Styela clava: one gene and its partner. The protein of the gene in region 1 interacts with the protein of each later gene in a pairwise test. Links are inferred from orthologs where the notes say so. Each region holds a gene or a part of one and is shown on either strand. Other genes may lie near its edges.

Region 1 (4,241 bases):
TTATTCCCTGCTACAGTTTCTTTATCCTGAGTCTGTCCGCTTTCTGAATCTTGAATGCTTCTAGTGCTACGGTTCCCAGGACTGCTTCGTAGTTGATTACGCTTGCGTTCTATGCTCTCCATAGTTAACGTGTCTAGTTTGGTTTGTGATTGCATTTTTTTGAAATTTCGATTCAGACGTTTTAATTGTGTAAGGATACGCTGAACTTCCCATAAACGTTCATCTTTTTTTCTGAAATTTAAACAATAAATGATTTTATTGGTTTCTGTAAAAAAGCATATACAAAATCTGTAGCATATAAGCCAGTGCTTGACCAAGTCAAGTTATTTTTTTCAACCAGTAAAAAAGTCAGTTTTCAACAAAATATGAAGAAAAAAGATAGGCACACATTTCAACTGGGGATGGGAAGCTGCAAGAAACCAAAGCTTGGTATCAAGCAGCAACACTCAAGGATCTAATATAAAATAAGTTTAGTTTCAGAACTTCTGTTTTTGTTAGACATTGAGACTAATGGAATAGATGATAAAGAACATCAGATACAATTAATCAATTAGAATTAACACACATAAGGTTTATAATAATGAATAGTGTTATTTGATCACTGTATGTAAAGTATCCTTGCAAATCTTTTCTCAGCAGATTTTAGAGAGCACGGGACATTGATTCAAACAAATCCAATGTGGATTGCCGGTCCATCGTAAAATGTGTGCCAGGTTAGAGTTTGGCCATAATTTTATTCCGATTTTCCTTGTTTTAGTTCTATTATGAGTTCGAGGACTGTCTGTGTTAGCTCTCTTCCCATAGGTTTCAGTCCTTTCACACAACTTGATGTAAAATGAGCGAACAAAATTATTTACCCCCATATTGGTACACATACACTTCTGGAGCACTCTCTAGGGACTTTTTTATCAGCAAATTTTAGAGTTACATCGTTTCAAACAAGCCAAGTCTGTACAGTATGGATTGCCTACCCTATTTATCATATCCTGGATGGGACGTGATACTTACCATAATCTACAAGGAGACATTTTCTATGATCTGCCATAATTCAAAATTTTATGAGTATGGTAAACTTCATACCTAGTCGGTACTGCATGTACAAAATGTATTCAGAATGGAAACAAAGAAATATTACCTGTCTTTACAACCAGCTTGTAATTGTGAGTGAAGCCGATTTAAAACAAATTCTTGACGTTTTATTTCTTGAACAACTTCTATTTGATCTTTCGGTAATGGAGGCATAGTGGCCCAGTCTTGCCATCTCATTGGTCTGATTAATGGTTTGATTTCAACCCCTGTGAAGAGAAAAAGACAAATTGAATTTGAAAGTATTTGAAACGCTTAGGTATTGCAAGAATATATGGTACTTTTTCTGGTGTGATCATATGAAAACGTCTCATAAATATCAAATTGAAAGTTTCGTAAAAAATGCCCAGTGGAGCAGAACATACCTGCAAAAATCTGTTTCGCTTGAGTAAAGAATAAATTCAAAACTCTGTGACTGATGTGTAACGTCGGACTTAAAACGATCGAAATATTCTGTATCGTCATTTTGCTCTCCTTCTCGTGATCAATAATGTGACTGAAATGTACGATTAACCACGAAATCAAAACTTGGTTACATTCAGGGAGATTTTGAAGAATTGATTTGGTCGCTCGGATTTTATCTGAACCACTAGCAGCCTCTTCAAACTTCATGGAGTATTGGTCGGTCAAGACACGCTCTGGTAATTCTCGTAGATAATTTTTTAAAAGACTTGCAACTGTGTATGGGTCGTATTGATTCAAATCCGGAGAAATTTCTTGGTTGTAGGTTTTTATGAGTTCATCGACTTTTGCTTTTACTCCAGATATCCGATATATTCCTTCCGCTGTTAGACCTTTGTTCTCCAAATGGTCTATGCAGTCTCGTACCACAGCAGGTAAAAGGATGTTATCGTGGTAGCAAGTGCGCTGCACTGCCTCTTCTAGAGTTTTTTTGAATACCGGGTTGACAATCTCCTCGGATTCTTCTGGTAGGCTTTCAGGAATCTCATCGCTTGGGTTCGATAAAACTCGCTTTTTTGATTTATGTTTTTTCTGCGGATCTTTTTTGTCTTTAAACGATATTTGTATGTCTCTAGGTAAACTCGCTGACTTTTTCTTCGCATCGCGATGTTCTTTTGATTTTGGCGTCGAGGATGGTACATCAGAAGGAATGTTCAAAGAGTCCCCAGGTGTTTTCCCTTTTTTGCTAAGTTTCCCTTTAGAAAACGAAGCTTTTTTAAAGAGGCCTTTCGATGTTTTTGGTTTTCTAGATTGTCCTGATTTTGGAGTTCCAAAGCTTTTTGAAAATGGAGATTCTTCATCTGTCTCATTATCTGGTAAGAAATGATGATATCCTTTCTCTTTTTTCTTTTTACGATTGGTATCTTCACCAGACTCACCGGATTCAGTCATTTTGTAAACTCAACTTAATTAATCTAGTTTAACAAAATTTCGAATCTAAAGATTGAAAGGTGGACATTTATCAATTTCATAATTTGTACATAATTTCAGGTACAAATACAATACTATCAATTGACTAGTCCCAGAACTCGTAATAGGAAAATTGGAATAAAATTTTGGCCTAACCCTAACATGCTACACATACTACCTTATGTTCGGATGTCCACCACCTTGGTTCACAAACTTTGGGAGTACCAATCATTAACATTGAAACATGGTTTCCAACCAACAATACCAACTTGGTTTTGCAAAAAAAACTTTCCACAAACAATGAGAACAAAAATTTAAAATTTTGGAATGTACAAACATTCCCAGTAGAAACAAATATACCAAACCAGTCTTCTTAATCAATCGGAATACTATTCCAACATATTATCATGATTTTCAGAATAAACATATACAACTTTATTGTGAAAAATAATATTCCTTTTCTAACTATGTGGATATAAATTTGAATTTGGCGCAGATGTGTATGTACCAACATTGAGGTAACTAATTTTGTTCGCCTACTTTACATCAAGTTGTGTAAAGGGACTGAAACCTATGGGCAGGGAGTATATTCACTTGGCTAACATAGACAGTCCCCGAATTCGTCATAGGGCTAAAACAAGGAAAATCGGAATAAAATTGTGGCCTAAACTGGTACATACACTACGGGAGTACCTATAATTTTTGAGTATAAGTCATAAAAAAATTTGAATGCATAGACAGGCAATATGTAAAAATTTAATAAAATATAAAAACAACTTTGTTTCTAGATGGAATGGACAAAATGAAAACTAAGAAAAGAGGAAGTAATATCATTGAATATTTCCAATATTCCTAATTCACAAGCCAAGAAAAAAATCACCACAATATAATACAGTGAAAAACTTGTTGCACTGTGCTAAGTATTTGCAAACATTTGACAATACAATACAGTAAAGTGCTTACAATACAGAATAAGTGCTTTGTTTCTAGGTGAAATATGCAAAATGAAAACTAAGCAAAGAAGAAGTAATATCATTAAACAGTTTCAATATTCCGAATTCACAGGCTGACATAAAGTCACCACAATATATCACAGTAAAAACTCATTGCATTGCGTTAAGTATTTGCAAACATTTGACAATACAATACATTAAACTTATTTTCAAAATATTATAAATGAATAAGTGCTTTGTTTCTAGGTAAAACAAGCAAAATGAAAACTAAACAAAAAAAAAAGTATATCATTAATATTAAATAAATTAATATCCCCAATTTACAGGCCAAGAAAAAGTCACCACAATATACCACAGTGATAAACTTGGTGCATTTCGCTAAGTACAGTATTTGCAAATAAATTTGATAAAACAATACAGTAAACTTCATTTCAAAATATTATAATAGAATAAGTGCTTTAAGCTGGTATTGTTGTTAGAAGCAATATTCAGCAAAAGTTAAATAAAAAAATTACAGAAAAAACAAAATCTACAATTTTTCTTATTTTCTTGAAACAGCTTTTTTGGGCTGAGCCCTTGTTATCTTATATTTGCTATTTAAATCTTCTAATGTTACTTATTGCAATTCCAAAATGATTCAGCATAAATCATTTCCGAGGCGTATGAAAAACATTACTCAAACTATCATATGCCACCTAGTGATTAAAAAAGTCTACAGGACAAAGGGTTGTAAAGCGCTGCCTAATGACAAGAAAAGTTCACGGGGCAAAAAGTCTGTAAAGTGTCACAACTCTAATCTACAACACATTGTAGATTTCCCAGTCTTACTGT
Region 2 (4,241 bases), on another chromosome or scaffold:
GTTACAACCTTATTTTATTAAGATTTGCACAATGTCAAAAGAAACAAGAGTTAGTCATCACACATAATTACAGCAATAAAGTTCAAATTCAATCAATTTCGAAAATTAAAACTTTTCTTAATAAAATTTGAACAAATTTTAAATTAGAAATACCAAGTGTCAGTGAAAATTATTAATCCCTTCAGAATACAAATTGCATCAATGACACATTCATTTCAACTGAATTAGAGATTTTAAAAATCATCTTAGTTCTTTATTTAAAATGAAAATAACTTAAAGCTTTTTACAAAATGTTATTAAAGATCATAAATAACATAATAACCTGAGTTTTGATTCCTTGTTGCGTAATAAATGTCTTTAATATTCCAGTATCAGTCTTCTGCGGATATCCGAAGTCCAAAACCTCTGTAATAGGTAAAATTCATTGATAAAAAAAAATCCATTTGCAATTTCAAATACTGTAAATGTGAAACATTTTAAAGCTAATCTAATATGCATCTCCATTAGCTTGATTGTTAGAAATAGGCTTTTTACGATTCAAGTGCTGTTAAATTCAAATCTTAACATTGGTATTGGCTTCAGTAAGTTGGCATTGCATTGAGTCAACCTTCATCAAATACTCAACTGGAGTTGGATTGATTGAATATTTATCAAAGACTCAAAGTCGAGTCATCTAAATGAAAAAATTCAAACTTGTCATCAGCTGACCGCCTGTGAGAATTAACTCAGCAATCATCTTGACTCCAGGACTCGACTTGATGGCACAGATAACTCATGGGTCGTAACTAGACTCGCAGCTATGAAATTAGAAACTACTTTGGAAACCCTTTGAAATCTCTTTCAACTTTGGAACCCCATTCCACATATACAAATAAGAATGATTTACTCTAGCATTCCACTCCCCAATTTTATTCTCCCATTTTGTGAATATAATTTCAAACTTTGGAATGTTCTACCTTAATAATTTGTCATCTGAAATTGTGAATCTTAAACATAATAGTGTGAAGTGGGGAGTTGACATTGATTCCTGTCTATACATACCAAACTAATTTATCACTTGGTATTATTTTTATTATTACGATGACTGGTATTTTATTTTGATCGACGAAAAACAAATCTCTCTCCCTCTCTCTCTACTGAACGCTGCACACTTGAGATCTAAGGTTCGAGCTGAGGTCTATCTACCAAACGGTCGGAGGGTTGAGAATGAGGTATTGGGCATGATAAGCTGATAAAATACTGGGATGTTCAAACTCAGGATCTTCTAAGTTGATAAATAAAAGAGAAGCTATGGTCTATGTACACTAACCATCTAGAAGTTCGTATATCAAAACAAAATTGTTTTTGATATTTTCTTCATTGATTTTTCCAAAATAACTTTGCATAACATCGATCATTTTAAGAAGAAATTCAAAAACAAGAACAGCGTTGACATTTTGCTTTGTTACCTGAAAAATGAAAGCGTTGTTTAATTGTATACTTTCTAGAGAGCTTGGTTTCTAAACGCGATAGAATTTTTGGAAAAATCGTAAAGAAAATCAGCATTAGGGTCATAGCTAACAAAAGCAAATCCATTTCCCACCAAATAACATATAGCCTACCTCAAATGTTACTAAAGCTATATAAAAATGTGTTATTTTTGGACTATTTTGAACAGTCTTTATACCATTTATCAGTGCGAAATTGTTTACTAGAGGTACTATAAGTAATTCCACAAGGTATTTGAGAGAATCAGGAAAGTATCGAAATAGAATCAAATTTATATATCTGGTTAAATTGCTCTTGGTTGACTATATTGTAACATATATTATGTTTTCCAATATTTTAATAAATCCATTTAGGAAAGTCTCCAAAAAATGGGTTAGCTTAAAAATCATAGTTATTGATTTTTGATATAGATACACCATAATATTGATCAGTCTTATAATTTTCATTCCCCTAAAAATGAATCCTGAAACACAGCAGTAAAGCATTCCTTGTTGAAGTAAAAAAATACTGTGATTTCTACAATAAATTCTTACAGCACATAGCCATATATTTCCTCGTTTTGTATGAAAGAAACTTGTCCGTGCTATATTGGTAACAGGTGATCGCACTTGCTGTCTTGCATGAATAACATTGACACGAAAAGCATCACACGCGTTCCGCCTGTAAAATATTACATTGTATGTCAGAACAATGAAATACTACAATTAGCAAGTGCAGTTTTAAGTATTCCATGGCGTCTGCAGCTGCCACAAAACCATGGCGGTATTTCCATATCATGGCCGCTACGGCCAAACCTATGGCGACTGACTTTTTAGCTGCCACAAACCAATGTCGAGCTGCCGTTACCGCGGCAGCAAATTGAAAACCAATGGCAGGTAAAATTTTGCTGCCGTAACCGCGCCTCACAATTAGGGAGAGTCTATAAATTCAGATTACTTCAAAAATAGCTATTGGCTTTTCTGGACTGGGAGCGTTCATGCGATTGTAAGCAGGGATATGGAGTCTGGAAATTTTTACAATTGACTTTTGACTCGAGGATAAAAAAAATTTGGCTAAGTTTCCCAGTAGAGAAAAATTGACTCTCGCTCCTACTTGTAGAATATTTGGACTCTGGGACTCCAGATCCAAATTCTGAATCAAATTTTTCAATAAGAACTTTGACATAATAGGCTGTTATTAATAACACTCTGTAAACATACACATAGTATAATATATATAGAAGTGCAAAAGTTATAAAATCTGCAATCAATGGTCATAAAGAACAACATACCCGATATCATCACGATATATCCTCGATATGAGAACTTCTCCCTTGTGATTGTAAAGGAAAAGACCACCGATCATTTTGGTGGTTTGACCAGGCCAGAGGCCTCAAACGCTTCAGACAGAAATATTCAGTTTCCCTACTTTTATAAGAACATAGCAGTTTAAATAGTTCACTAGCTTTCAATGAAAGAATCGGAAAAAATTTAAATGAATATAATACATGAATTAGGTGAATACATGAATTAGGTGATTGCTTCCCATTTCTAGATATTGGAACATAACCACTGTCAGACTTTCCGATTAGAGAAACTGAAGCTTAGTTCAGTAACGCACAGTACAGCAGTACGGTACTACAAATTCACACCCATTTCTGCATTTCAGCATTTGGATATAACCACAGACAGAGATACCGAATTGTATACAGGACCGTACTGCCAGTCTGGATTTCATGGCCTTTTTGAACGAGAAATCGGGCGTGCAATCAGAAATTCCCGCGTGCAAATAAGAATCCCTGGCGTGCAATTATCAGAGCCATTATATAATGGCTCTGCAATTATAGCTCACGGCGTGCAAAACAACTGCGCCCGCGTGCAACTGACTTTGACATTAGATACCTCTCAATACATCACCGTTCGGTATCGGATAAAAATTACGTTGAATCAGATCAAAAATGGACGTTTGACCTTTAACCCCAAACATTTTTTTCTACAGTTTGTCGCTAATTTTGAGAGTGTTTGTGCGATATTGGATACCGGTACTGTTCAGTACATCCGCGTAAAATTATTGAATAAAAAATACGTTGAACCAGAGAAAAATGGACATACTTTGTCATTAATTTTGGGAGTGCAAATTAGAGCAAAATTGGCCGTTTGACCGTTGACCCCAAACAGTATTTTTATACTCCGTCACTAATTTTGAGAGTGTTTGTTCGACTTTAAATACCGGTACTGTTCAGTACATTCGTGTAAAATTATTGTATGAAAAATACGCTAAATCAGAGCCGTACCTGGCCAGCGTTGGTGCGGGGGCGATCTTTTCGTCCATAACTGTTCTCACGGGATTCCTATCATTCAACACGATATGGTCTTTTTTGCTTCGCATTTTTCGATCAGACCAAATTTTGCAAGCTAGTATTAGTCGACAATTGTGGAGTTATAATATTTTGGCATCTTTATATTACTGGATTATTGATTTTAAAACAATTTAAACCGATTTACATTGGTGAACAATTGCAAATTTTCGGCGTGCAAAATTGAATTCGCTCGCGTGCATTTTTGCGCAGCGCTAGCGCCCTCGGGCGTGCACCCGCCATGGAATCCAGTCTGGCCGTACTGTAGCCTACCGTCTGTCGGGTAACCAATGAGTAAAAAAAAATGAGAAAACTGCTGTACTGGAATAACAGAATCAATTTCCATTACTGCAATATGATCTTGTACCGATACCGTCTGACCTACTGTACGTTTACGACCGTAAGTCTTAAATTTACA

What was found. The genes of interacting proteins can lie anywhere in the genome.
Region 2: the proteins of ralA-binding protein 1-like (region 1) and AP-2 complex subunit mu interact in a two-hybrid assay, tested with the Drosophila melanogaster proteins (2 studies listed by BioGRID). The link is inferred for Styela clava from reciprocal best matches to the Drosophila melanogaster genes Rlip and AP-2mu.

What each region holds. Positions count from the first base shown.
Region 1 is NC_135264.1:15,712,655-15,716,895, forward strand, and holds the start of ralA-binding protein 1-like, read right to left. Parts: upstream 2,520-4,241; 5' UTR 2,440-2,519; coding exon 1,452-2,439; intron 1,296-1,451; coding exon 1,136-1,295; intron 232-1,135; coding exon 1-231. Other genes in the region: UMP-CMP kinase-like, read right to left, coding at 4,235-4,241. UniProt on the Drosophila melanogaster protein: Participates in receptor endocytosis during interphase, is also involved in mitotic processes when endocytosis is switched off.
Region 2 is NC_135263.1:5,966,071-5,970,311, reverse strand, and holds the start of AP-2 complex subunit mu, read right to left. Parts: upstream 2,934-4,241; 5' UTR 2,833-2,933; coding exon 2,759-2,832; intron 2,149-2,758; coding exon 2,022-2,148; intron 1,449-2,021; coding exon 1,310-1,448; intron 406-1,309; coding exon 323-405; intron 9-322; coding exon 1-8.